Linked DNA regions of Nothobranchius furzeri. Each later gene encodes a partner of the first gene's protein in a complex. Links are inferred from orthologs where the notes say so. Each region holds a gene or a part of one and is shown in the gene's direction. Other genes may lie near its edges. The genes, in order: cwc22, rbmx2, snrpf, rbm48, armc7, snrnp200 and snw1.

Evidence for each region.
Region 2: cwc22 (region 1) and rbmx2 share a complex: the UniProt entries of both Homo sapiens proteins name them as parts of the minor spliceosome. The link is inferred for Nothobranchius furzeri from reciprocal best matches to the Homo sapiens genes CWC22 and RBMX2.
Region 3: cwc22 (region 1) and snrpf share a complex: the UniProt entries of both Homo sapiens proteins name them as parts of the minor spliceosome. The link is inferred for Nothobranchius furzeri from reciprocal best matches to the Homo sapiens genes CWC22 and SNRPF.
Region 4: cwc22 (region 1) and rbm48 share a complex: the UniProt entries of both Homo sapiens proteins name them as parts of the minor spliceosome. The link is inferred for Nothobranchius furzeri from reciprocal best matches to the Homo sapiens genes CWC22 and RBM48.
Region 5: cwc22 (region 1) and armc7 share a complex: the UniProt entries of both Homo sapiens proteins name them as parts of the minor spliceosome. The link is inferred for Nothobranchius furzeri from reciprocal best matches to the Homo sapiens genes CWC22 and ARMC7.
Region 6: cwc22 (region 1) and snrnp200 share a complex: the UniProt entries of both Homo sapiens proteins name them as parts of the minor spliceosome. The link is inferred for Nothobranchius furzeri from reciprocal best matches to the Homo sapiens genes CWC22 and SNRNP200.
Region 7: cwc22 (region 1) and snw1 share a complex: the UniProt entries of both Homo sapiens proteins name them as parts of the minor spliceosome. The link is inferred for Nothobranchius furzeri from reciprocal best matches to the Homo sapiens genes CWC22 and SNW1.

The regions. Positions count from the first base shown.
Region 1 is NC_091754.1:30,044,086-30,047,585, forward strand, and holds part of cwc22 (pre-mRNA-splicing factor CWC22 homolog), read left to right. Parts: intron 1-2,833; coding exon 2,834-2,986; intron 2,987-3,077; coding exon 3,078-3,205; intron 3,206-3,500. UniProt on the Homo sapiens protein: Required for pre-mRNA splicing as component of the spliceosome. As a component of the minor spliceosome, involved in the splicing of U12-type introns in pre-mRNAs. Promotes exon-junction complex (EJC) assembly.
Region 2 is NC_091750.1:26,772,697-26,776,670, reverse strand, and holds rbmx2 (RNA-binding motif protein, X-linked 2), read left to right. Parts: upstream 1-1,174; 5' UTR 1,175-1,280; coding exon 1,281-1,285; intron 1,286-2,491; coding exon 2,492-2,607; intron 2,608-2,788; coding exon 2,789-2,840; intron 2,841-2,923; coding exon 2,924-3,053; intron 3,054-3,181; coding exon 3,182-3,368; intron 3,369-3,442; coding exon 3,443-3,813; 3' UTR 3,814-3,892; downstream 3,893-3,974. Other genes in the region: ap4m1 (AP-4 complex subunit mu-1), read right to left, coding at 217-302, 376-437. UniProt on the Homo sapiens protein: Involved in pre-mRNA splicing as component of the activated spliceosome. As a component of the minor spliceosome, involved in the splicing of U12-type introns in pre-mRNAs.
Region 3 is NC_091741.1:34,923,132-34,927,250, reverse strand, and holds the start of snrpf (small nuclear ribonucleoprotein F), read left to right. Parts: upstream 1-1,319; 5' UTR 1,320-1,456; coding exon 1,457-1,459; intron 1,460-2,582; coding exon 2,583-2,708; intron 2,709-4,119. UniProt on the Homo sapiens protein: Plays a role in pre-mRNA splicing as a core component of the spliceosomal U1, U2, U4 and U5 small nuclear ribonucleoproteins (snRNPs), the building blocks of the spliceosome.
Region 4 is NC_091759.1:22,195,839-22,200,009, forward strand, and holds rbm48 (RNA-binding protein 48), read left to right. Parts: upstream 1-1,371; 5' UTR 1,372-1,386; coding exon 1,387-1,515; intron 1,516-1,666; coding exon 1,667-1,857; intron 1,858-1,928; coding exon 1,929-2,074; intron 2,075-2,158; coding exon 2,159-2,688; intron 2,689-2,783; coding exon 2,784-2,846; 3' UTR 2,847-3,769; downstream 3,770-4,171. Other genes in the region: peroxisomal ATPase PEX1, read right to left, coding at 842-949. UniProt on the Homo sapiens protein: As a component of the minor spliceosome, involved in the splicing of U12-type introns in pre-mRNAs.
Region 5 is NC_091756.1:50,515,025-50,519,237, forward strand, and holds the start of armc7 (armadillo repeat-containing protein 7), read left to right. Parts: upstream 1-1,413; 5' UTR 1,414-1,446; coding exon 1,447-1,506; intron 1,507-1,580; coding exon 1,581-1,668; intron 1,669-3,665; coding exon 3,666-3,809; intron 3,810-3,888; coding exon 3,889-4,213. UniProt on the Homo sapiens protein: As a component of the minor spliceosome, involved in the splicing of U12-type introns in pre-mRNAs.
Region 6 is NC_091757.1:37,093,425-37,097,669, forward strand, and holds the start of snrnp200 (U5 small nuclear ribonucleoprotein 200 kDa helicase), read left to right. Parts: upstream 1-1,445; 5' UTR 1,446-1,675; coding exon 1,676-1,720; intron 1,721-1,874; coding exon 1,875-2,038; intron 2,039-2,445; coding exon 2,446-2,617; intron 2,618-2,698; coding exon 2,699-2,891; intron 2,892-2,996; coding exon 2,997-3,052; intron 3,053-3,144; coding exon 3,145-3,243; intron 3,244-3,329; coding exon 3,330-3,482; intron 3,483-3,561; coding exon 3,562-3,661; intron 3,662-3,752; coding exon 3,753-3,889; intron 3,890-3,966; coding exon 3,967-4,044; intron 4,045-4,122; coding exon 4,123-4,245. UniProt on the Homo sapiens protein: Catalyzes the ATP-dependent unwinding of U4/U6 RNA duplices, an essential step in the assembly of a catalytically active spliceosome. Plays a role in pre-mRNA splicing as a core component of precatalytic, catalytic and postcatalytic spliceosomal complexes.
Region 7 is NC_091742.1:20,657,740-20,661,301, forward strand, and holds the end of snw1 (SNW domain-containing protein 1), read left to right. Parts: coding exon 1-94; intron 95-169; coding exon 170-311; intron 312-644; coding exon 645-750; intron 751-1,726; coding exon 1,727-1,844; intron 1,845-2,148; coding exon 2,149-2,312; intron 2,313-2,431; coding exon 2,432-2,624; 3' UTR 2,625-3,062; downstream 3,063-3,562. UniProt on the Homo sapiens protein: Involved in pre-mRNA splicing as component of the spliceosome. As a component of the minor spliceosome, involved in the splicing of U12-type introns in pre-mRNAs.

The DNA.
Region 1 (3,500 bases):
TGGTCATCGGGGGCAGTTCCTGTGGAGTTCTTTAAGAAGGGTGACCTGAGAGTGTGTTCCAACTAAAGGGGGATCACACTCCTCAGCCTCCCTGGAAAGGTCTACTCCAAGGTAATGGAGAGGAGGGGCCGATCGATAGTTGAATCTCAGATTGAGGAGGAGCAATGTGGTTTTTGTCCTGGCCGTGGAACTGTGGACCAGCTCTATACCCTTGCAAGGGTGATGGAGGGGGCATGGGCGTTTGCCCAACTAATCCACATGTGTTTTGTGCATTTGGAGAAGGCTTATGGCCTTGTCCCCAGGGGCACCCTGTGGGGGATGCTCCAGGAGTATGGGGTGGGTGGCTTTCCTTTACCAGAGGAGCGTGAGTTAGGTCCACATAGCCAGTAGTAAGTCGGACCTGTTTCCAGTGAGGGTTGGACTTTGCCAGGGCTGCACTTTGTCACCGGTTCTGTTTATTATCTTTATGGACAGAATTTCTAGGCGCAGTCGTGGTGTGGAGTGTGTCGAGTTTGGTAGCAGGAGAATCTCGTCTCTGCTTTTTGCGGATGATGTGGTCCTCCTAGCTTCATCCAGCTCTGACCTTCAGCTCTTGCTGGGTAGGTTCGCGGCCGAGTGTGAAGCGGCTGGGATGAGGATCAGCACCTCCAAATCTGAGTCCATTGTTCTCGACCGGAAAAGGGTGGCTTGCAACTCCTGGTCAGGGGAGAGGTCCTACCTCAAGTGGAGGAGTTTAAGTATCTCGGGGTCTTGTTTACGAGCGAGGGTAGGAGGGATCGGGAAATCGACAGGCGGATTGGTTCAGCATCTGCAGCGATGCGGGCGTTGAGCCGATCTGTCGTGGTGAAGAGGGAGCTGAGCCAGAAAGCCAAGCTTTCAATTTACCGGTTGATCTACGTCCCAATCCTCACCTTTGGTCATGAGCTTTGGGTAATGACCGAAAGAACGAGATCGCGGATACAAGCGGCCGAAATGAGTTTCCTCCGTAGGGTGGCTGGGCTCAGCCTTAGAGATAGGGTGAGGAGCTCGGACATTCGGGAGGGACTCGGAGTAGAACCGCTGCTCCTCCGGATCGAAAGGAGCCAGTTGAGGTGGTTTGGGCATCTGGTCAGGATGCCTCCTGGATGCCTCCCCGGGGAGGTGTTTCGGGCATGTCCTGCCGGCAGGAGGCCCCCGGGTCGACCCAGGACACATTGGAGAATCTGGTTCGGGAACGCCTTGGGGTCCTGCCGGAGGAGCTGGTGGAGAAGGCCAGGGAGAGGACAGTCTGGAGCTCCCTAGTTGGGATGCTGCCCCCGCGACCCAGACCCGGATAAGCGGAGGAAGACGACGACGAGTATTAATTGGAAACCCCATATAAAATATATAAAACAAAAACTGTGTAAAAGTATTGGACACCATAGACACATTTCTTGGTGTGTGTGTGTGTGTGTGCGTGCGTGCGTGTGCTCTGTCTTCTCGATCCCCAGTGAGTCGTGGTGGATGGCTGCTTATACTGAGCCAGGATCCCCTGGAGGTTTCTTCCTGTTAAAAGGGAGTTTTCCTCTCCACTGTCGCAACATGCTTGCTTAGTATGAGGACTGCTGTAAAATGACTGACACTAGTCAGTGACTTGATGCAATTTGCTGGGTTCCTTATAAAGGAAACATTTTTTCTGATTGGCTTAATGACCTGACCTGAATTGGAATGTTTATTATGTGAAGTGCCTTGAGACGACTCTTGTCGTGATTAGGCGCTATATAAAATAAATTGAATTGAATTGAATTGACTTTTAAATAAAGAAAAGTATTTTGGAGTCATCAACACTTCATATATTATATTATTCATTTATTGTTCCGTACTTGACTTATTGTATAGAGGTTTGGGGCAACACATATAAAACAAACGCTAATCCTTTGTTTTTATTACAGAAGAAAGCAATGAGAATTATATATAAAGTAGATGCTAGGGAACATACCAATAAACTTTTTAATGAATCAAAAATTATGAAAGTCGGGGATTTGGTTAATTTGAAAACTTTACTAATTATGTTCAGGGCAAAAAAGAGGTTACTGCCAGTGAAGTTACAAAAGTTTTTTGTTTTGATTTTAAATGATGGAAAAAATAGAAGCCTGAGTTTAAAAGAGTTTTTGCTTAAACAACATTAAAGCAAATGTGTATTTCAGTATATGGAGTAAAATTATGGAATAATCTGGATCATGACCTGAAAAAATGTTTAACTACTGATCAATTTAAGAGACTATATAAAGAAAAAGTCATAGAGTCCTATGACGGATAAGTAAATATTGAATATCTATATTGATACGTTTAATTGTGATTTTGTTTACTAAGATAAGGAAGTTTTGTACTTGTTTTGTGTATAAGGCCATTCTGTAAATTATATTGTATGAAGTAGAAAGGGGTATGTCGTACAAGACTACTTCTTCCTCCCCCCTTTTTTTCCACTTAGGAGACTGTTGATGATTGTATTTTGCATGATTGATGAATGAAACTGCTGAGTGATAAAATAAATTAACAATTAAGTATATAGATGAGGGCGGATTAAAGCAAAATGCTGATCGTTGTTTCGCTGAGTTTAGCTTCTGGGACACAAGTACAAGCACCTGCTCTCTGAGATGAAGTGTAACATCAACAAACTGAGCAGCAGAAGTCACTTCAGCAGAGTTCATTTGCCTAATCTGAGAATTCTGTGAAAATGCAGCAAACAAGTGCTGAAATCATGATTTTGCAGTGAGATGTTTAAATCCTAGGTGCTGTTGCCTAAACTGTCAAATAGCGAGAAGCTTGAATATTAAGCAGGTGGAACATTTAAAATATGTGTGTATTTGTTCAGAGGTTCTGTTTGTTGAAGAAGGAGTACATGGAGAGTTTTGAGGTGATATTTTCAGAGCAGTACGACACGATCCACCGACTGGAGACCAACAAACTGAGGAACGTCGCCCGACTGTTTGCTCATCTGCTCTTCACGGACTCCATACCATGGAGTGTAAGAACACAGAAACTCATTTACACACGCACGCACACACATGCACGCAGTAAACGCTGATTAAACCTGCTCCCTGTCTCTTTACGACCAGGTGTTGGAGTGCATCAGGATGAGTGAGGACACGACAACGTCATCCAGCAGGATTTTTGTAAAAATCCTTTTCCAGGAGCTCTGTGCCTACATGGGTCTGCCAAAACTCAACCAGCGGCTGAAAGACTCGTATGAACACACACTTTATGATCTGCATTTATCAGAAAATATTTTTCATTAATAGATCTATAGATGTATAAATAATAATAATAATATAATTATTCGGTAACACTTTAGTTTGGGGAACACAAATTAACCATTAATTAGCTGCCAGTTTATATGCATATTAGTGGACTACTAAGTCTGATCTAGTCAGTATTAAGCACTTATTAAGAGCTTATTACTAATGCCTTAATTCTAACCTTAACAAGCCATAAATTAAGAGTTTTATCAAAATAAGCCATTGATAGTGGTTTGTTAACTG
Region 2 (3,974 bases), on another chromosome or scaffold:
TCAGGTTTGTTTTACTTTTGACTCTCGAATCATCTGCATGGTTTCAGTCCAGTTCCTCAGACAGTAAACAGACGCCGAAACATCGTTGCTTCATCCTGATGTGACTTCTAATCTAGTGGTTCTGGTTTGACCTACTCTTCGTGTTTGGGTCAAATCAGAACTCAAAACAACACAACAGTTTGGGTCTAAATGTGTCCCAGACTGTGGAGGCGTTACCGTGACGACCAGAGGTTGGTCTCCAGTCAGCGCTGTGACCTTCTCATAGAAGATGTTGACCACATCGTTTCCTCTTTGGCCTCGGTCTGATTGTTGGCTTGGGTTAAGCTCTAACTCCTGATAGGGTAAAGTCTCACGGGACTGGAAGCAAAAGGATACAGTCCTTGTAGATGAGATGGTCCCCCTTGGAGGACAGGATGAAGACCTGAGAGATCATCCTCCTGAAAGGAAGATCACAAGCACAAGATTAATGATAATGATAACTAATATTTATATGGAATATCACACCTTATTGATCATTTAATAAAAGTGACCACTTCCGTCACGTTACAACATGTTTATCAGAGTTGGAATAAAGCCAAATCCTATCTAATTTATTGTATTATAAGTGTTAACAGCACTGTTGTGTACTGGTGAGAACCTGCAGATAAAACTACAGAAGTTCCGCTAACGGAAAGGTGGATCTGTGAGGGGTTACAGCTGCTGTACTCGCCTGCGGAAGGTGTGGGGTCTACCTGGAAGAACCAGATCTTACTGCGGCTATTTTTAACAGAACTTCAAAGGAAATGAAAGCACGGCTGGTGCTGCTTTGGCTAGCAGTAAGCTATAGATAAACTTTAATAACTCACAGGGCCGCAGTTTTCAGAAACGCTGAATACAACCAGATAAGCTCATTGTCTGCAGGGTTACAAAGCTAACCTGACAGAAAGGTTTTGGGTTTATATTCAGGTTATAGCTACGGTTTACGACACGGCTCCGTTAGCATGTAGCCCCACAGCGCTCCCTTGTGGACAGGAGGTTGAATGAGGATTGCATTAATAACTTTATATTTATTAACTTCACGATGAGTGAACTCATAGCTACGTAAGAAATTGCTTCAGATACATCAACCTAGATGGTTTGGGTGTGTTATATAAACCCGAGAGAAATAATCTGCACATGTTTAATGATCGCTTGTAGTTTAGATCTCCAAACTGCAGAGGGCAGCAGAGACGAACCAAACGGAAGTGGTCTACCTCAACAAATAAAACGTCTGATCTGTGCCCTAATTTCTGTAACTAACTATGAAGTAAGTACATTTATGTATTCATAAATGACACGAACCACCGACACAACACTGTTCTACTTCTTGTCGTGTAGTTAAAGTAAAAAGAGCGAGTTCGTTATTCTGCGGTTTGATGACTGATCCTGGTGCAGCATGCTAGCTGTTAGCTAGCTCCTACTCGTAGCCGATCGGATTCTGCTCAAAAAACAGATAATTTAACATTTTTTCCTTAAAAACCAGAGAGAGCATGTAATAAAACATAAACACCCAGTTGTGTTTGGGATGTAGCATGTATCTTTGATGCTTCAAGAAGACATTTGATCATGTGTAGGTTGGCTATTGTTTTGTTTACACCCCTGACCTTCTACTACGTGTTTTATTCTAGACCAGTGTGTCTGATAAAGTTGACTAATAATTTATGTCAACTGCTGATGAAGACAGGACCACAAGCTTGGTCATATGTGGTGTTATCTTTTTCTCATGAATGTTTCTACGTCTGCTGCAAAAAAAAAGATCATTCGACTAATAAAACACACCACTCCGATCGTATTTACCCCGGAAGTCAAAGGGGACACATTTACATGTATATCCAGCCATTGTCTGAACCCGCATATCCTCACAGGGTTCTGGGGGGCTGGTGCCTATCTCCAGCAGTCTCTGGGCATGCAGGCGGGGTACATCCTGGATGGGTTGCCAGTCCATCGTCCATCGTAGGGCAGCCCAGAGGCACACAGGACAAACAACCATGCACAGCCACCTAAGGATGATTTAGGCAGACCAATCAACCTGACAGTCGTGTTTTTGGACTGTGGGAGGAAGCCGGAGTACCCGGAGAGAACCCACGCATGCACAGGGAGAACATGCAAGCTCTATGCAGAAAGACGGGCTGGGATGTAAACCCAGGACCTCCTTGCTGCAAGGCAACAGCCCTCAGAATTAAAATGTCAAATTTAAATCAAGCCAACAAGTGAAACGGAGCAGCTCGACCAGGAACACCGTGGTCCTGCTGGAGGAACAGGATTATGCCTGCTGCTGCTGAAGGGTCATTAGGGTCAGGCTCAAGGTTGGGGTTGAATAGAAAAGCTCGACTCTTTTTCTCTGTAGTCCAAACAAAAAGCAGTTTTTCTTTCTAAATTGTCCTGACAGCTTTTCACAATAAAACTCCAATTGAGTCAGAATCAGGTCCAGTCCCTAACGGGACGATTTACTGAGCAACTTGTGTGTTTTCAGTCCTCTAACGAAGGTGAAGCTGATTAACGAGCTGAATGAGCGCGAGGCTGACCTCGGCATCAGCGAGACCGTCTCCTGGCACACAGAGTACCGGGACAGTGCCTGGATCTTCATCGGTGAGAACTCCTCAAACCCAGCCCTTCACACGTGGAGACGTTGGGATGAGTTTGGTGTTTTGGGCTTTTGGAGACGATTTGCTTCTGTTCATTAACAACATAAAAAGGGATCTCATGAATGAAACTGTTGAAGTGGGTTTGTTTGGTTCTGATGATGCTTACGAGGTCTCGTTTCCTGCAGGAGGGTTCCCCTTCGAGCTGACTGAAGGAGACCTGATCTGTGTCTTCTCCCAGTACGTACATGCTTACGTCTCACCTGCTTTACGTTATAGCTGACATGACAGTGACGTTTGTCTCCTCTCGACAAACCTGCCAGGTACGGAGAGATCGTCAACATCAACCTGGTGAGAGACAAGAAGACGGGGAAGTCTAAAGGGTTCTGCTTCATCTGCTATGAGGACCAGAGGAGCACCATCCTGGCAGTGGACAACTTCAATGGCATAAAGGTGACTTCCTGTCCTCACCAGGTCCTGGTGTGGACCCAGCGCCGCTCCTTGCTGGCCCACAGCGGCATCAACATGGTCTCTGATGAGACAATTAGCTAAAATCTTTTTGTTGTTGTTTAAACGTTCAGATTAAAGGTCGAACTATCCGCGTGGATCACGTTAAAAATTATCGTCCTCCCAAAGACAACGAGGACATGGACGATGTGACCAAACATCTCAGAGAAGAGGGCTGTGCTCCCAAAGGTCCTACTGTTGTCCCCTCTTCCTCTGAGGAAGAAGAGCAGTGCGTCGTACCTGCGAAGAAGCCCAAAAAAGGTGAGGTCACTTCCTGTTACCTGAAAGTCACCTGATCTAGGACCAGGTGGACTTATTTCCCTTTTCTGTCTCAGATAAGAAAGAGAAGAAGAAGAAAAAAAAGAAAGAGAAGAGGAAGAAGAGCAGAGCTCCCTCTTCATCACCTTCTCCTCCTCCTGCAGTCTTCAGACTGAAAGAGGAGAAGCAAGACGCCGCCTACGACAAGTACAACCACAAGGAGGTGCCTGCAGGGCAGAGGACGAGGGACACGGAGAGAGGAAAGGGGACAGACAGGAATGAAGACAAGTGGAGGAACTGTGAGAGAGAGGTGGACAGAGACAAGGACAGAAGAGACGACTATAGGAGACAAGAGATGGACAGAGACAAAAGACGAAGAGAGAGGGAGTGGGACGAAGACAGAAGAAAAGACGGAGACAACAGGAAACGGGAGCCGTATAGAAAATAGACAGGTTGTGATTGGCCGATCCATGGTGTGTGTGTGTGTGTTTTAATGTTTCGTATTAAAATCTGACCTGAACACCTGATACACTTCATGTCTGATGTCCAACACCTGAGGACGGGTGAGACTTTTACAAAGCAACACGTTGGCGAACTCGTGAAGCATTT
Region 3 (4,119 bases), on another chromosome or scaffold:
TGTGATTGTTGTCATTCTGGTAACTTTGATCGCTTTTATGTAATTTTGTGTCTCTTTGTGGTCGTTTTGCTGATTTTATTGGTCTTTTAGAATAAATTGTAGTTTTCTTTTCATTGTTTGTTACTAATTTAAATGATTTTTATTTCATAACTTCTAATCTTTGTGACCATTTGGTGAAAATGTCATCTTTTTTATTTTATAGCCTCGTAAGACTAATTTTGCTATTTTAAAATCATATTTAATTAATAAATAATTTCCCTTTTGTTTTTGGTTGCTTTGCACGAGTTACTTTCTTGTGACTACAGTTTTTGCAACACTGCAAATTTATTTGTGTCTCTTCATCATTTTGCAGCTCTAAATACGTTTTTAAACACATGAAAAATATATTATGCTTTCTTTATCGGTTCAGTCGGTCTGTCTGTCTGTAACAGATTTTATTACGCCTCATGCCAACAGTAGTTCTCATACAACTCATGCACCCTCTGACTGGCCACTTCTCTAAACCTCGCGTACCGTCTCCATCCCATAACTGAGACCAGACTGTCTGATGGACGGGTTAATTACACGTTGGAAAGGTGAGGTCGGGAAAATACTCAGTGATGTAAAGAAACAAGTATTTCAAACATGCAGAGAGAGATCCAGAGCAATTTCATAGGAATTTTTCTGACAAAACCCAGCCATTTGCTGAATGAAGTCAGATTTCGGTTTTATTCACCATGGCAGGTTTGAACTTGCCTGACTTTTTGGTAACAGACAAACGCTTCAGAGCAGAAAACATTTTTTAAACATCGGGCTTCTTGTGCCTGGAGAAAAACAAAGCTGCAGAGAGCAAGCATGACCCAGTTATGACAGTCGTGCCAGGTTTAGCTCCTAAACCGATATGTTTTCAATCAGTCACTGATCCTGCATGACATAAATAGAGCAGGAGTTCAACTCAAGGCAGATGACATGATCTTGTTGCTGAGAATGAAAACGAGTTTGAAGAAAATTATTACTAGTTTTTCCTGGACTTAATAACTGATTTTTTTTGCCATTTTCTTTTGTGAATGTAGAGGAGATACAACTTTTTGGACTGGACTTTATTTCTGTATCGTGCCACGAACATATAGCAGATACTCTATAAACAACTGACATATCAACCCCAGAGATCGTGCATACATATTGTAGGTGTTTAATTCACGTTTCGTTTATCAGCTCACAGTTTACTGTTCAATGGGTGACTGTAAATGAGAGGAAGAGGGGAAACTTTTGGAGCTTTACACTAAATCACTTGGGTAGCAGTTCGCTCATCCGGCCACTGGGAGGCGCTGTTTAAAGCACGGAGACTCGTGCCCAGGTCGGAAAGTTGTACTTCCGGTCGGCGGTAAAGCGTGCTTCGTGGTTTGCAAACGTTATCGAGACGAACATATTTTACTTTTTTGATTTAGCTTATTAAAGCTGTTTAATTTGATATAAAATGGTGAGTAAGACGTTGTATATCTTTATCGTCTTGCGAATGAACTATCAGGATTTAATTCAGTGTATTTTTGTTGTTTAGCGTTAGCCATGTTAGCTTTTCATTCATAACTTCGACCTAGACCTTTCACACCCTCAAACACATATTAACACAAAACTGGTGTTATAAATCTTCGGTTTCTTATTCCCTTTGGGTTGTAAGCCGTCTACTCGTTCATCACTGTTAATAAACAAGAGAAAAGACCGCAGAGGCTACATCAACCGCTAGCATCCCCTCGCTTCCTGGCAAAATAAAGTCCAAACTATTTCGCTAAGATCGTTTATCAAAAGCTTCCATAAGGAAATGAATATATATTAATAATATGTCTCTCGACCTTTAGCTATTTAATCTTTATAATGTGAGCTAACTCCTCAGGCCTTTAAGTCCACGGTGTCCTGTAGCTAGCCTTAAGAGAGATGATCGGTTTAAAACAAGCGACTCAGAATGAGCTAAGAGCATCTTTGGTGTGTGCTTGCTGTGTTGAAATTCTAATTCCATCTTTTAGTTATTTTTAAAACACAGAAAGGTTTTATTTGCCTGCAACGTTTCGTTTGCGGCTGCAAACTTCGTCAGGCTGACGCTGCAGGTAAATAAAACAGCAGTAAAGCATTTAAACCTTTTTATTAAACCACCTGACCCGGATTAACCTTTGTGTTATGGGAGAACATATTAAAATTTAATAGTGATTGAACAAAATAATGCAATTTAAAGAAAAATAACACTATTAGGATTTAACAGCTTGTTTTATTACACAGATCAGTTGCGCTGATTCATTAAACGTTTTTTATGAATAAAATTAGATTGGTTAAACAGCTGTTTGGCCATTAAGTAATTCATTAGTAAAGTCAATAAAAATGATTTACTTTGCAGTAGATTTAAAGTTTGGATTCTACGCAAAAACGTTTAATTGAATCCGGATTTCCTTCATGTTGGAGTGAGGAGTATCTGTGTTGTAGGACGGACGGCTGGGGGTACGCTGCTGTTCAGCAGCGTTACAAATTCATGAAATGTAGTCGTTAAATGCATTTAATTTTCTTCAGTAGTGTGGGATGTAATGGCTTTGCTGACCTCTGTTCTTCTTCTACAGAGTTTACCTCTGAACCCGAAGCCTTTCCTGAACGGCCTGACGGGAAAACCTGTGATGGTGAAGCTGAAGTGGGGTATGGAGTATAAAGGCTACTTGGTGTCTGTGGATGGATACATGAACATGCAGGTGGGTGCCGTTTCTCCTCCTAACAACCAAACCACAGAATCTTCTCACATGGAAAAATAAACCATTTAATTATTTGTATACCTGCTCAGGATTTGCTACTGCTTGATGATTTTATTGTGTGGTTTTATCTGTGTCAGACTTCTTTATTATCATAAATTTGGTTAAGCCAAATCAAAATAAATGATAAAATTAAATTTGTACCCCAGGAAAATTCAGCTCTTTAGACCCATCATCCTGCTTGTTTTCTATGTTTCTTTGCTTCAACACACCTGATTTGAGTCATTAGGCGAATAATGAGCTGCTTCAGAAGAATTAAGCTATTGAATCAGGTGTGTTGGAGCAGGTAAGGAACTAAAACATGCAGAACCAGGGCTCACTGATGTTCTTTAATCAGTTCAACTTCAGATCATAGTCAGACTGCTGAAAGGTGTTTATCTTCGTGTCCAGCAGGGGGCGTTGTTTGATCAGTTTGAGGGAATTTTTGCTAAAGAGACTGAAGTGAATAAAGTCATGGCTCCAAAATGTCTAAGGAAACTTCATGTAATTATAATTTTACTTATTAATATTAACAAAGCAGCCTATTTATCCTTCAGCAGCAGTAAAATACAAATGTTCCCAAAGCAGGGTGTGTTTTCAAATGTTTGCATGTATATTTGGGAACAATATCTAGGATATGCACCCAGTTGTCAGCGAAATGCAAATCAGTTCAACAGCAGTTGATGAAGTTCTAACAGCTTTTTAAAAGTCTAATCCATAAACCTCCACTGGAAAGAATATAGATGCAGGAATTAGGCCTGCAGCTATCGAATATTTTTGTAATCGAGTACTCTATCAAATCTTTTATCGATTAATCGAGTACTCTATCAAATCTTTTATCGATTAATCGAGTACTCTAATAAATGACCCTTTTGTGTTTGTAAACCATTATATCAAATAGCATGTTATAAAATATGAAAGACCTCTTAAAATGAGTACGCTATTGCCAGTTATTCTTCAAGTTTTATTCAAAATCAGTTTGCAAAACTTCAGCACTTCAACTTTACTTCACAGTAAACAAATGCCTGTGCAAAAAATAAGTAAACAACCTGAGCTAATTTCCCCCGGTGTGAGAATCTACGAGCCTGCAAGCCAGACAAAAACTAGGATAACTGTTGAAGTAGCGCTGCGAGTGGCTGCGGCCCAAACAGAACCAGAACCGCTCACGGCGCATGCGCAATCATGGCTCGCCAGCTGTTTCCCTATTAACACACGTCCGTTTTAATTTCTACACTTTATTTTCTCACACAATAACAAGGATTGTCGAGAAAGCATGTTTGCCGTGGTTTTGTCGAATTATACTGATCACAAAACATTTATTTACTTTCGTTTTCCTCTCATAAATACCCGCGTCCTCCTGCAGCAACCCCGAGGG
Region 4 (4,171 bases), on another chromosome or scaffold:
GGAAAGGGAGAGAGAAAATGAATAGGGAAGCGGGAAATCAGTGGATCACGGAAATGTGGAATAAGTGCAAAGAGCAGAACAAGGAGAGGGTGGTGAAGGTCCCACCAAAGCCTGAACAGGTGACTTTTCAGCTGCTTTTTAAAGGAGACCACTGAGTCCACTGATCTCAGGCTCAGGGGGAGAGAGGTCCACAGTCTGGGGGCCACACCAGCAAATGATCTGTCACCTTTGACCTTTAGCCTGGTGCTGCACAACCAGTTGGCTTTGATCACTGGACCTCAGGGACCTGCTGGGGGTGTAGGGACTAAGAAGATCACCAATGTAAGATGGTGCTTGTCCATGTAAGGCTCTATAGACCAGAACCAGGATCTTGAAATGAACCCTGAAGTTGACTGGCAGCCAGTGAAGCTGGAGGAGAAGCGGGGTGATGTGGGTGCGTTTGGAGGACTTGGTCAGAAGCCGAGCACAGGCGTTCTGAACCACCTGTAGACGGTTCAGGGAGGTTCTGCTCAGACACGTGAAAAGAGAGTTACAGTAGTCTAAGTGTGTCTCTCTAAGTCTCTAATGCAGTAAAATAAGGCAAACATAGATGTCAAGGAAGCAATTCACCTGAAAATCCTAAAAACCAGCAGCTGTCGTTGATTAGGTAACTGTTTGCTTTGCATGTTTATAAAATCTCAAACAAAAGTACTTTCATCTGAGCATAAGACAACCCGGCTAGTCGTTTAAAAACTGTCATCTGTTTATGCTAGCACAGACATTATACATTAAAACTAAGTCTTAACGTACAGAAATGATCTAAAAAGCAGTAAATCAACATGAAATTAGTTAGCTAACCTACCTCGTTCAAGGAAAGATGCGCTACCAACTTGGAAGGGAGGTGAAGAAAGCAGTTTTTTGTGTTGTTAAAAACGACACGAACGGCTTGAATTCCCTGGTTGCTAAACATAATTTTCGCATTGCTAGCTAGCTTAGCATACACCAGGCAGAGAGAGCAATTGGATTTATCGATGTGCTCTGTGGACGATGGACTCCTCACCAGGCAAAAGTAGTTGATCTTTTGCTTTCAAAATAAAAGAGTATTCTAACAGGCAGCGCGACGGTATTCACTGAACTGTAAGCATTTATTTTGAAAGTGTTAAACCGGAAGCGCAGACGCATTCACTGAACTAAAAGCGTTTATTTTGAAAGTGTTAAACCGGAAGTGCAGACGCATTCACTGAACTAAAAGCATTTATTTTGAAAGTGTTAAACCGGAAGCGCAGACGCATTCACTGAACTAAAAGCGTTTATTTTGAAAGTGTTAAACCGGAAGTGCAGACGCATTCACTGAACTAAAAGCATTTATTTTGAAAGTGTTAAACCGGAACAGCATTTAGAATAAGCATGGCGGTCCCTGTAAACAACAGCTCCGGTTGTTGGAAAGTTCCTGACGTTCACAAACATCACGAACAGCAGAAAGTTTGCATTTCTCGACCAAAGTATCGAGAAGGAAGAAGAGCTAAAGCGGTTAAGGTGAGACAATCTTAGAAGTTATTAATTTCAGCTAAAATGTTCATAAATTCTGTAAAGAAGACACACAAGATTTGCTTTAGCTTAATTGGTAACATCATTCTAATACTGCACTGAACGCAGGAAATGTAACTTTAGTCTTGTGAATTTCCAGGTGTACACCATTAACCTAGAGTCCCGTTTCCTGATGGTACTGGGAGTCCCAGCTATCGGTGTGATGACGGAGCTGGTCCAGCTGTGTGCCCTGTATGGTGTTGTGGAGGAGTACAGACCTCTGGACGAGTATCCGGCTGAGGAGTTTACAGAAGTCTACCTCATCAAGTTCCAGAAGCTAACCAGCGCCAGGTACGATTTATTCGCTCCTCATACTTTACTGGAAATACCTGCTTAATCGTTATCGAATGTTTCTGTTTCAGAGCAGCCAAACGCAACATGGATGAGAAAAGCTTCTACGGCGGTGTGCTGCATGTGTGTTACGTCCCAGAGTATGAGACTGTAGAAGACACCAGGCTAAAGCTACAGGACCGGAGGGGTTATGTTATGAGAGCAGCTCGGAGCAGAGGTATCGTTTAACATCATGTTTGATTTAGTTCTGACCTTTAAATGTTGCTTTTCAATGCTTTAAAACAAATCTTCTCTTACAAAGCAAAAGCGGCGCACAGCGAAGGCTCCGCATCATCGACGACTGCATCAGACATAAACGTCAGACACGATCAAACCTCTAAAAAAGAATGTGCAGAGGATGCTTCAAACCACAGCCAACATGCAGAATTCCCTCCTCTCCCATTACCTCCATGGGAGCAGCATCCCTTTGGACATAACAGTCCACATGGGATCAGCGCACAGGAGGACAAAATGGGAACTTTACATGATGCCATCATAAACTTGAAACAGCCCCAAGTGGAAAAGTTAAGCGTTAACCAAGCCTCAGAGAGAGACCACGACACAGAACACAGACTGACCTCAGATCAGGCTTCAGCATTCAGGTTTCTCCCAAGGTCCTCGCACTTGGAGATCAGGAAACGCAGAATGGAAGAGGCTCCCGAGCAGTCGGCAAGTGTTTCTGGAGGAACCGAGACCCTGATTGGACCGAAATTACCAGAACCACCTAAACTGGACATGAATGATGACTCGTTGAACACAACTGCCAGCCTGATCAGGAACACAATGAAACAGGTCATTGTTGATTCAGTACTTTAATAATTTCATAAAAAGTAAATCAGCCTTAATGAAGGATTAAAACATGTGAATCTTTTTTTTTTTTTTTTCAGGTGGGATCTGCTCCGGGTTTCAAAGCTGTTGAGAAAAAGACAAAACCACGTCGTCGGATATGATCTGGACAGGTGTCTAGATGGGAGTCTTGGAAGAAAACCGACGCTCCCACTGCTTCGGAAAACTGTTTATCTCATCGGCTGTTGTATGCTATGATACCAACCTGTATAAAAAAGGTTAAAAAAAACAGCTATTATGTAAAGAGTGCACAAATTTACATTTAGAAAGCTAAAGAAATACTAATACTGTGTTTCCTATGTGCATGTTGCCGTGGCGCGCCACTACGGAAAAATAAAAGCTGCCACACCTTCAGAAGTAAACAAAAAAAAAACTTCAAACAACGTACCTTCAGAAACATTTTTTTTGGATATACATTAAAACAATAACGAGACATATATAGTCTATATTTGTGCATGTGTACTAACCATAGTCACAGTTTAAAATAAATTTTATTGCAACAAAACTTTAAACTGCAGTTCAAAAAGATCTACCGACCGCTAAATTAGCGAGGGCGCACCGGTGTGGTGAAGTCACCTGAGGACAAAACAGGTGATGCGCTTCGCTCCGCAGCAGCAAAACGCATCGGGCACAAATAAAAGACAGGAAGCATAAAAAGGACACGAGTCGACATAAACAATCGTGTGTTATACGTGGAGACACTGAGAATGTTACTGTCGCCATGCTCAGGACACCGCTCTGGTGCGCGCCAACCATCAGGAGGTGAGCGAAGGAGAGACAAGTGGAGAGGCAGAACAAGGACCAGCATGCATAAGTGAGCATGATGAGGGAGAGAGCAGCAGGGAAGCGGTAAGAGGGAAGAAAAAAGTCAGCACAGAGAATCTGGCTGGGACCCAAAATGGACAGAAATCAAGTTCCGCCCATGGCTGTAATCAAGGTGGGAATCAAGCAATACAAATTATTTCAAGGTAAATATATTTTTACATTTTTTTTATTTAATTGTAATTAAACAATAAGCTGATTTACACACCTGCGATGGACTGGCTCTCTGTTCAGGGTGGCACCAGCCCCCAACCCCCCACCCCCGCGACCCTACATGGACAAAGCGGGTTCAGACAATGGATGGATGGATGTTTTACACACACCTGCAGGAATGTTCATCGAAAAGCATACTGCTCGTGTCTCAGAGCGACCGTCTCCGCACGTCTCTCCACCACGGTTTATCAAAATCGTAGAGGAAACCCTGAGCATGTTATTTTATCTCACACTGTCAATATTTTAACTGCTAAAACTTTCTGCATATTAGGAAAATCTTGAAATCCTTCACATGGGTGCAAATTTACCACCAAACAAATAAAATGGTCACAAAAACATTAGAACAGTACTAATTAAAGAAAAATAACAGCCCAAAATAGACTTTTACAAAAAC
Region 5 (4,213 bases), on another chromosome or scaffold:
CTTTTTGTTATTTTAAGTGCAATATGAATTATTGTTTGTTTTGTTTATGTCTTTATTGCATGCACCAATAAAAGATGTGATTGAAGTCTTTATTGAATTTTATTTGTTTGTAATGGGAGTTTAAACTTTAGCATATTAATTTGAGCTGAACTGAGATTAAAACTTCAAAATCTTCTCTAACCTCTCCATTATGAAGTTAAAATTTATATCTCAGACTTGATACACCTTAATGACAAAATACAAGTCCTGATACTTTGGTTTTAATTCAACCCTGATAAAAAAAAAAATCGTTTATCCAGTAATATTTTTCTCCCACTGTTTCTGTTTGGCTTAGGGGTTTAGTCTGTTTTTCCCAGATAGTAAGTACATTTTATTTATATAACACCCATCACAGACAGTAATCACAAAGATAAAAAAAACAAGACAAATTAAAGATGATTCGAGTTAAAAATAAGGCTATTTATGTAGATGGTGGTTAATTCTGCTCCCGCTTGACCAACACGAGTGTCAAAATTTAAAAGCGTGGTTCCTGCTCAGCTGAACTTCCATCCAGTCTTATAATTTACTGATTTACTGGATGACTGTAATGTCTGATGGCCTGTAAAGCATCAGTCGTCTGCAAAAAGTTCATATGTTCAGTCACTTCCTGTCTGTTGCTGCTTCTTCTTCTCCACCAGCTCTTTCTGTTTCTCCCTCCTCTCCAGGACTTCCATCATCCTGGCATAGTTGCGTTCTCGCTCCTGGGCCTTGAGCTCAACCACGTCTTCAAGGAACCTGTGTCTGCATAAACGACAAGCAAATATGTTTACGATTTGCTGCTAACTCATAGTATTTAATATTTTTGCTTCAGTCTCCAATGACAGTTTCACCGTCACACCGGTGTTACAGTGAAATGTGTTGTGCGTGTGTTTCTTTTACGCAGTTAGCAAAGCTCAGTTTCACCTGTTAATGAAAATAGTGGCGAGTCCAACCAGCAGAGTTCCGAACAAAATGGGTTTGGCGAGGCGCTTTCTCGCGGACAGCCGGTGGTGATTCATTGTTGCTGTTTTACTTAAATAAACAAAGCGACATAGCGTTTTTGTTAAGCTGACCTCCCGCAACGTGCGTTATGTGCTGTTGTACGAGCACATAAACACAAACACACCTTCTGCTCCTTAACTTCCGCTCAGCTGCCGGTGTTGTATCAATCTCTGTACACCATTTAAAATGTGTTTCCTCATCGGCTCGCGTAGCTCTCGCGTATTTCATTGCACAATTGTGACAGCAATGCTAGCATTTATAACGTTATAGGCGAGTTTATAGCAACGATGTTACGATTTCGTGTAGCTAAAAATGCGTTACTCTTTAAATCATGCGAAAGTGAACGGGGAACACATCTTCACGGACAAACAAGTTTTGATAAAACAGCGGAACAAATATCTACTTGCGCAGTTTTTCCGAACACTTATGAGCCGCGGACCCATACGTGAAATGAAAACAACCTCTGAATCAGCTATGAACGGTCAAGTAACTTAAACATCAGCATAATCTGATATCTGTGTGAATTTTATTTGAAGTGTTAAATGTGTTTTTGCTAAAAGATGAAGAGAAATGAGTCAGCTGAAGCGCCTGAACGGTTTGAATATTTACAGACGCTGGTTACTGAATTTCAGGACACTGACAGTGAAGGTAGGAATAACCTTTGATCTGTGTTCTACAAAGTTAAAATAAAAACCGTTTTAAAACGAACACGTAGACTCTCAACACCCTCAGTTTAGATGCATGCTATTATTTATTAGTGATGGGAATGGCTCAGCTCACCAGAAAGAGCCGGCTCTTTCGGCTCCCAAATGGCTCCTCAGATTTTCTGTTTCGTAGAGTACATTTATAACCAAAATAATGCAAAACTATATGTAAAATTATTTACTAATGTAAAAAAAAATGCAATATATCAAATATTTATAATTTCTATGGATTTAATAACTGAACACTTTAAGAAATTGTCACTTTCCGACTGCTGGCGCTCATTTTCTCACCGTCTTCATCACACTCTCCTCTCTATCTCGCTCACCTTTTTCCTCCTCATTCCCTCTCGTCTACCTCCACCTGCATGTGCTCTGCTGTGTGTCTGAGTCTGATTCTCCCTCTTCCCCGTCCCTACTGCTCTGTGTGTGGACAGTCTGGTCACACAGTTACACATGTTGACCAATCGCCTGTAGCGTTCACCAAAGCAAGAGGGGAGGGGGGAGGGGAGGGGACGGCTCCCAATGATGAGCCGGCTCCCGTTGTTCACTTCAAAGAGCCGACTCTTAGAGCCGGTTCGTTCGGACTGACACATCACTATTATTTATATCGTTAGAGGGCTTTTTCAGAAGCCGTTGTTCAGTCGAAAACTGTACTCTCCATCAGTATATTTATTTGAAGTGAGAGAAAAAAAATCGTCAAAAGAACATTTGTATATATGTTAGACCAGTTTTTATCCATTGCAATAGGAGAAAGGCTGACTATCAGCATTAGAATTGTGTTCAGAAGACAAAAAGATCACAAATACATGCAAATGACTTCATGAAGTTAAAATTTTTCGAAAAAGAATCTGTAAACATGACTAAATCAGGTAGAAGTGAACAAATACATCAAATAAGCTGTAATTCTAAGCAGCGTTTTAAGTTTTATTCTGAAAGTGTATCGTTGTGACATGAAATAAATGTAAGCTTAGTATTTGGAAACCAAAAAGTGACGTTATTTAACCAAATTCTGATTGTTCATTCTACATGTTAGTTCACTTTGAGATTACTGCCATAAGTAAACATTTTCTGTTGGATTTTACCGCAGAAAGCTGCTTGTTTTTATTTTTAAAAAAACGGTGTTAAAAATAAGTAGCCAGATAATGTGATGAATTAAATAATGCGCTAGTTCCACATCCATCCATCCAGTTGTAAATATCTACACTGGCTGCCATTAAACTATAGAAACGATTACTAAGTGCTACTGCTAGTTTATAAATGAGGCCAAAATACATGTTGGATCTCCTTCCTGTATATATACACCCAGCAGGGCTCTGAGATCCTTAGGAAACAGTCAGCTGGTAGAACCTCGGGTCAGAACCAAACAGGGTGAAGCTGCTTTTAGCTACTATGCTGCTCACAGATGGAATCAGCTTCTTTATGACCTGAAATGTGCCCCAACTCTAGTAACTTTTAAGTCAAAATGGAAGACTTTCATGCATTCATCAGCCTTTGAAGGATTATTTCTCATGCTGTACCTTCTGCGCTCAGTCTTTAACTTTGTCTTTTATTTTATTTCTTACATTTAATTTTATTAGAGTATTTAAAATTTGAATTTAAAAGCTGCTGTTTTACGTCGTCACGTTGATTTTAATCTTTTATGATCATGCTGGTCATGCACCTGGAAAGTACATTGAATAGCTTCAGTGTATGAAATGTGCTACACAAATAAAGCTGCCTCGCCTTTCTAGTTTACAGACAAATCTTATTTTTATACTGTCAGCTCCACATTTGAGCCTGAAGGGTGTTTTGATGTGAAAGTAAAAAGCGCCCCCTGTGGTATAAATGTGTACTGTTTCTGTGCTGCAGCCTCTGTTTATCATTGTTTGTAATGAGCTGGTGTAAGGTGAATTAGTGGATGTAGGTATCTCTGTTTGTTTCATTACTTTTTCTCTTTATCAGAGGCAAAGGAGCAGGTTCTGGCAAATCTAGCCAACTTTGCATATGACCCAAAGAACATGGAGTACCTGAGGGAGCTGCAGGTTCCTGACCTGTTCCTGGACATGTTGACCGAAGAGAATGAGAACTTTGTGGAGTTTGGGATGGGTGAGCATCTCTCCAACTAAAACAGTAAATCATGTTTGTTTATGTAAAAATCATCTAAACTCAAATATTGTGTTGACAGGGGGTCTGTGTAACCTCAGTATGGACCCTGGATGCAGAGACATCATCTTGGAGAACGATGGGATCAGCTTGATCACAAACCACCTGTCAAACCGGAGGGAGGAGACGGTGCTGTCTGCCGTCACCACCCTGATGAACCTCACCACACCAGCGACCTGCTCTCAGATCACAGAGCCAGGGATCGTTCAGTGCATGCTGCGCTTCTCACTCGCAGAGAGCCCCCGTCTGCGCAACCTGGCCTCGGTCTTCCTGCAGGACTGCTGCAGCCAGGAGCAGGTGAGACAGGCTGAGCTGCAGATGCAGGGGGTGCAGACGGCCATCGGGAT
Region 6 (4,245 bases), on another chromosome or scaffold:
TTCACTGGAAGATGGTCCACTTAACGCACGGGTGTAGACTACATATTAATGACAAATGAATGAAAATTAAATTGTGAGTTTTTACTTCATATTTTAGAAATTAAAATGACGGGGGAACACGTTTATGACGTCTTTTTAAACTAAATTTTCTAGCGCGACCTGCCTGCTTCACTTAAGTCACTGCTTATTAAGGTCCGTCCAAAATTACCATGGCCCACCCAAAAATGAAAACCTGGCGCCGCGCCAGTTATAAACCTCTGCAAATTGTTGTTCTTCACGTTATCAAACTTAGACTTTGTACAGCTAATGTCAAGATGTAAAATTATGAATTCAGTCGAGCTCTTCCGTCACTCCCTCTCCTGCTCTCCTGGAAACCCGACATCGGCTGTTAGAAGCGGAGGTGAAGAAGGAGATGAGGCAAACAGAGTGAGTGCGACATAAAGAAACCAGACTGGTGTGGAGGTGAGCAAAACAGCTGGAAAAGTGTGGGCGTTGAATCCCCCACGGGTGCGATGTCCATGCGAGCGACCTGTACCTGCTGCTGTCACCTGGTTGTGAGCAGCCCTCTGCTGTCTGAGGGTAGGCCCCGCCCACAACGCTGCGGCTACTGCGGTGTTTTCTTTACTGTGGGAAACGGGTAATAATGGCTCTTTGATGGGAACAGGTTGCTGACCCCTGAGCTGGTAAAACAAAAATCCTCATCAGCAGGCTTTTTTGAAAGTGGGGGGGACACAGCTGCCAATCACAAATTTTGCCGGGGACATGTCCCCGGCGTCCCCGGTTAAACTGACGCCTATGTTTATTTTACGTAAAACTTCACACGGTCCCAGTTCAATTCAGTAACTTTATTTATTAATTCCCAATTCACAACAAAGTAAACATTCCAATTGAACCTAATAATTAGTGCAATTAATTTAGTTTACCACTGAGACTTGTTAAAAGTTTCCTATCAAAGGAAACCCAGCAGTAATTGTGACTTTGACACAATCATTTCCCCACGGAGGGACAATAAGGACATTTTCTATTCTATTCTAAAATATTTTGATTTTGTCATCATATAGTTCTTGGTTTCATTAAAATTCATCTGAAAGACCAATCAGTGGTACATCAATGACACATCTTTTATTCAGAGGAAGACTTCTTTTTGTCCCCCTTTCTCTATTTTTTGTTTGTTGACTTTGTACAGTTTAGAGCCTGTACTTTTTACTTTTTACTAAATAAAGACGGTCACTAAATACTTTTACTTTTACCAGAGCATTTTTATACAAAAATGTGTACTTGTACTTCATTAGAGAACGTCAGAACTTTTGCCATCTGGGTTTCGTGAGATTTAGCCATCGACATGTAAAAATATCGAATAACATCCAAATTGAATGATTTACACCAAGCCTCTAGAGGGCGCTGTTTACCTTTTGTGTCTGTTTCATTCCCTTTGACACCGGAAGAGGAAATTTCTGCCCACTTGTTGTGCGCTCGTGCTAGCCGTGCTTTTGTTACGTATGAAAAACGCTACTTTCTGTTTGTGAGTAAAAGTGGTTTAATGTTTGAAATTAGAACACGCTACTAATGTTCACAGCGTTTTAACAAAAGTACAGAGTGACGTCAGCTCTGTGAACTTCACTAGTGCGCGTGCTGGTTCACAGAGAGCGGTGAACCCCGGAGGAAAAGTGGCACCATGGCGGATGTTACTGCTCGTAACCTGCAGTATGAGTACAAAGCGGTAAGTATGTTGGGTGTAAATATAATAACTCGGGGTTATTAAACGTTTCTGTGACTAGTGATTTCTAATTATGATGTTTAGTGGATCGTGTTGCCGGAGCCGAAGCAGCTCAGCCCGCTGAACTGATGGGTCTCATTTAATTGTGTGTTTGTAGAACTCAAACTTGGTGCTGCAAGTCGATCGTTCTCTGATCGACCGCACTCGGAGAGATGAATCCACCGGGGAGGTGGTGTCCCTGGTGGGGAAAATGGAGGGGACGAAGATGGGTGACAAGGCTCAGAGGACCAAACCCCAGAAGCTCGAAGAGAGACGAGACAAGTCAGTGCAGCTAACACTGATGTTTTTAAAACCATTTACCTGTTAGAATCGAGGTACAGGTGGTGTTTTCGTGTGTATGATTCTTATACAATTTAAAACATTCTATAATTTACTTGAACGTTGAATAGATCACATTTAACATGAAATATACCTCAATTAGGACAGTAATAGAATTATTCAGATTTAAATGAAATGAAAAGAACCGTCTTTGACCTTCATCCTCCTTTAATTGTCATTAACAAACGTGTGAAGCATGTAATTGCACCATATACTTAAAAGGTGTAGTTTTGCTGTTTGAAGTGGGGTTTGATGTGGAACAGCTGCATATGTTTAATCTGTAGGAGACAGCAGATTGATTGCAGTTTAGAGGAAAAAAATCTGAACTATCCCGTTTTATCTCACAACAGGAGACGTAAAAGAGATGAGGACAGACATGATATCAACAAAATGAAAGGCTTTACCCTCCTGTCTGAGGGCATCGATGAGATGGTGGGCATTGTGTACAAGCCTAAAACCAAAGAAACCAGAGAGACGTACGAAGTGTTGCTGAGCTTCATTCATGCTGCGTTAGGAGACCAGGTTAGTGAACGTCACAACACTTAAGACTTTTGCACTGTTGATGGCGAACGCACAGCTGATGTGAACTCCAATTGTCTGCAGCCGCGTGATATTCTGTGTGGAGCAGCTGATGAGGTGTTAGCGGTGCTCAAGAACGACAAAATGAGGGACAAAGAAAGGCGTCGTGAAGTGGAACAGCTTCTTGGACCTTCTGATGACACGCGCTATCATGTGCTGGTCAATCTGGGAAAGAAGATCACAGACTATGGTGAAGACAAGGACCTGCAGAATATGGGTAAGCTACTTTAAAATATCTTAATAAAGTGTTTCGTTTATTTGGTGACCATGTTCTCTTTAAGCTGTTATCAAATCATCTAAATCTTTTGTTATTTATCTGCAGATGACAACATTGATGAGACGTACGGTGTCAATGTCCAGTTTGAGTCTGATGAAGAAGTACGTTTTAATTATTAATGTCTTAGTTGTATTTAAACTGATTAAAATGAAAAAGTGATTTTTTTTCCCCCCGTCTTGTTACTTATATAAAGGAAGGAGATGAAGACCAGTTTGGTGAAGTACGAGATGAGCACTCGGATGAAGACAGTGAAGGAGAGGAGGCTGTTGTGTCCACTAGGCTTACAACCAATGTAAGTACAGCCTTTTTGTTGGTTCAGGTGGTATTTCCACAGTTTTCTTCTCTCTGATTTAAAAATTGAATTCTGTTTTGTTGTAGCTTAGCGAAACGGGTGGCGTGATGACGGTGAAGAAAAAAGACCTGCACCCTCGAGACATTGACGCCTTTTGGCTCCAGCGTCAGCTCAGCCGCTTCTATGATGATGCTATTGTCTCGCAGAAGAAAGCCGACGAAGTCTTAGAAATCCTCAAGGTGGGATTTTCACTGTTTTTATTAGTCACGCAGCATAACGTAGCATCTTTTGACACCTGATGCCTTTCTTGTTCTACAGACCGCCAGCGACGACAGGGAATGTGAGAACCAGCTGGTGCTGCTTTTAGGCTTCAACACTTTTGATTTCATTAAAATCCTCCGTCAGCACCGTCGCATGAGTAAGTTGCGCTCGTTGAATTGCGCTGGGCTATGATGTTCTGTTGCACAACTTATTTGAAGTTGCTGGTTTTTATCTTGTCTGACTCACAGTTCAGTATTGTACCATGCTGGCGAGCGCTCAGAGCGAAGCAGAGAAGGAACGCATCATAGGAAAGATGGAGTCTGACCAAGAGCTGTCCAAGATCCTGTACCAGCTGCAAGAGACGGAGAAAGAGGACATTATTAGAGTAAGACATCTTGGTTTTGAACTGTTTGTCACCACTTTGCAAGAAATGATTTTCCATATTTTGTTTTTGTTATTCAGGAAGAGCGATCTCGCAGGGAGAGGGTGAGGAAGTCTCGTGTTGATGACTTGGAGTCAATGGACATTGGTCATGGAGAGGTAACTAGTGTGACATGGTCCAGGTAGCCGGGTAAAAGTGTGTGTGTGTTGAGAACATTTGTGTTTCTCATCCTACAGTCGGTAGTCCCTCGGCAGGTTCTGGACCTCGAAGACTTGACGTTCACTCAGGGTAGCCACTTCATGGCCAACAAACGTTGTCAGTTGCCCGATGGCTCTTTTCGTAAGCAGCGCAAAGGTTAT
Region 7 (3,562 bases), on another chromosome or scaffold:
ACGTTTGGCTGCAGATGGAAGAGGTCTTCAAACCGTCCACATTAATGAGAACTTTGCCAAGCTGGCCGAGGCGCTCTATATTGCCGACAGAAAGGTGAAAAGATGGATGTTCTAGTGCTTTCTGAGGTTTGAACGTGTGTTTGAACTCGAGTGCTGGCTGTGTGTTTAGGCTCGAGAGGCCGTGGAGATGCGAGCGCAGGTGGAGAAGAAGATGGCTCAGAAGGAGAAGGAGAAGAAGGAGGAGAAACTCCGCGAGCTGGCTCAAATGGCTCGAGACCAAAGGGCGGGGATAAAAAGCCACGGGGACAAAGGTTCGGGAGACCAGAACTTATTTCAGTGCTTTCTTGGTGGATGTGCTGATTAGTGAGCCAGCAGAGGAGGTTCTGTCATCGGTGCCAGTTCTGAATCTGGCAGAAGGGATTCACACCCTGCTAGTGTTGACATGACTGTGAGGGGTAGACATAACCATTCCATCTGCTCAAACATCTTTTATTTCTTCCTTCTTCACTTCCCTCTGTCTTCACATCTTCTGTTTTGCACTTTTCCACCTTTTTTAACTCTTTTTCATCTCTCCCTCCATTTTACACCCTTCTTCCTCCTCTGATTCCCCCCCCACCACCACCACCTCTCTCACACACACACAGCAGGTGGTGAGGACAGCGAGGTCAGGGAGCGTGACATGATCCGCCATGACAGAAGGAAAGAGCGGCAGCACGACAGGAACATTTCCAGGGCGGCGCCCGATAAGAGGTGCGGCACACTCATCCCCGCAAGTGTACTCCTCTTTCACAGACTCGCTGCTGAATCATTTATGGGAGCAGCACTAATACGGAATCAGAACAGCTTTGTATGCAAGGTGTTTGTTCAGAGAGAGAGGGTGTGCGCGTGCGGGTGGGGTTTGGGGGGGGGGGGGCAGGACAAATGTAGAGGGTGAAATTCACAGGAGAGCTCATTGCAGTCACAGCTCCAGCTGTCAGAAGGGCAGAGACCTTGTTATCTGAAAATTACCTTTCACTCCACTTAGAGGTGGCGGTTTGCTGAGGGACACTGGTTACACACACACACACACACACACACACACACACACACACACACACACACACACCAAATTAAATCTGCCAAACTATAGAATCACCAAGCTTGAAGGAGATTTGTTCAGCTTTTTACTTTGAATTGAACAGCTGAAAAATCTGGTTTCAGATGACTTTCCTCCAGAAACGGTTCAGATCTCATCGTAAAACAAACTGAAACAAACATTGAGGGACAATCTGAACTAGGTTTTTGTTTTGAATTCTGCTTTAAGAACAAGTCGGAACATGGAAATAAACCTGGAGTTTGTTTATTTATTTGCTAAATGTTTTGTTAATGAGGATATTTTCATTGTGAGGCTAAAGATCCGGTTCAGAACTTCAGTGGAGATGCAACCGTTCATTCGCTGATGACCAGAACTGATTAATATTTAGCATGACCAGGAACTCTTAACCAGGGTTCTTAGCGTGCTTGAAATCTGAAAATGTTTTAAACTGGTTTAAGTTCTTTAAACTTCAGCTGAAATTAGTTGTAAAACAATAAAAGTTCTACAGACACGGAAGGGAAAAATGTTTTGATATAATCTCCTTTTCCTTTGTTATGTAACAAACGTCTTTTTCTTGGCAGATTTGTTTAATTTTACTTCCGTTCTGTAGTTTTTTTTGACAGTTTGCCGTGTTTTCTTTTTCTGTTTCAGGTCAAAGCTGCAGAGAGATCAGGACAGAGACATCAGTGAGCTCATTGCTTTGGGCAAAGCCAACCCTCGTTTCACCAGCGAGGCTCAGTACGACCAGAGGCTCTTCAATCAGAGCAAGGTTGGCACACACACACACACACACACACACACACACACGCACACACAGTTTCAATTCGGACGTTGGAAGATTTTTGGTGATTTCATTTGGAAAACAAATCTTAATAAAGTTAATTGACAACAAGCGTTTGAATTCAGATCAGGTTATAATTCGTCCTGCTGTCTTAGAAGATGGATAAATATGGAATTTGTTTGCAGTTTTTTCCCAAAAATCTGAAAACTCACATTTGGAAAGCAAAGCAAAGTTTTAAAAAGTTCCTGTTTCGATCAAACCCGTTTCTCCTGCTGTTACCCGTTTGTTTCAGGGGATGGATAGTGGTTTTGCTGGTGGCGAGGATGAGACGTACAACGTGTACGATCAGCCGTTCCACGGAGGCAGAGACATGGCCTCCAACATCTACAGGCCCAGCAAGAACATCGACAAAGACGCCTACGCCGATGACTTCGACTCGCTCATGAAAAACAACAGGTCCGTTCACCTTGATGCGTGCCTCGTCTCACTTGTGCTGAAACATTTCCACCATAATGTGACACCTGAGGAGAGTTGGCGATGAGGACTGATTGTTGTTTTTTTTTGTCTTTCATCAGGTTTGCTCCAGACAAAGAGTTCTCAGGTGCGAACCACGGCCAGAGAAGAGACGGGCCGGTCCAGTTTGAGGAAGATCCCTTCGGTCTGGACAAGTTCTTGGAGCAGGCCAAACAGCACGGCGGCTCCAAGAGGCCTTCGACCAGCACCCGCTCCAAGGACGACTACCATGACAAGAAACGCAGGAAAGAGTGAGACCCCTTCAGAGGGAGATGACTTCTGTGGCTCAGCACAAGAGGGATTCATCGGTCCGTCGTTACGATTTAGTCAGTTTTCATTTCCCTTTTCTCATTAAATCTACGCTGAAGAGCTGTGAAGGAAATGAGAAACTGTTAGTGTGCTGTTGTGTACATTAAACTGATATTACAGCTAAGTCCTGTCATTCCTCTGCTCTAGCTGAATGTTGCTTTAGGTTTTTTTGTAAATACTTACCAAACCCAACCGCAGACTCAGCAGGAGCCGGTACTGCTTCATATTTACACTTTCCCCCTTTTCCCCTCGTCTTCGTAGCAACTTCTATTTAAAACCTTAGTTAGTTTGTCCAGCAGAGTCACAAACGAGTGGGAGTCATTCAGACGAGCTTTATAAATCTTGTATGTTGCAACCAGTGGAATAAATTTCATATAAAGTGTTTTTATTTTGTCTTATTTCCACATCCGGTCCATTTTCTCCTTGCTGCTGTTTCTCGTTCCAGGTGTTACCTGCTTAAATCTTCAACCACAGTAAAAGCACATTATCGGGTTCTAGTAGTTTCCCATCCTTTAAATCAGTTCCTGAGTAATTCAGCCTATTAACCGATGATTAAACACGTTCAGAGAAGCCCATCAATCACAGCATGAGGAGTTGCTGCGGTTAATGTGATGATTAGATCACTGTTTGTTTAATTAATCAGGGTTTATGCAGCCTGTCTGCTTTATTTTCCCCGTTTGTGTGTGTGTGTGTGGGGGGGGGGGGGGGGGGGGGGGGGGGATCATGGAGTTGTTCCACAGCCCAGCAGACCCAGATGTCTGAGTAAAGTCATCTTTCAGTCACGCCTCAGCGGGGTTCCGGTGCTTGTTGCGCGATTTATGTTACCTGACTCGTGTCGAGTTTGATACTTTTATTAGCTGCAGAAATAATAGCTTCAAGCTTTG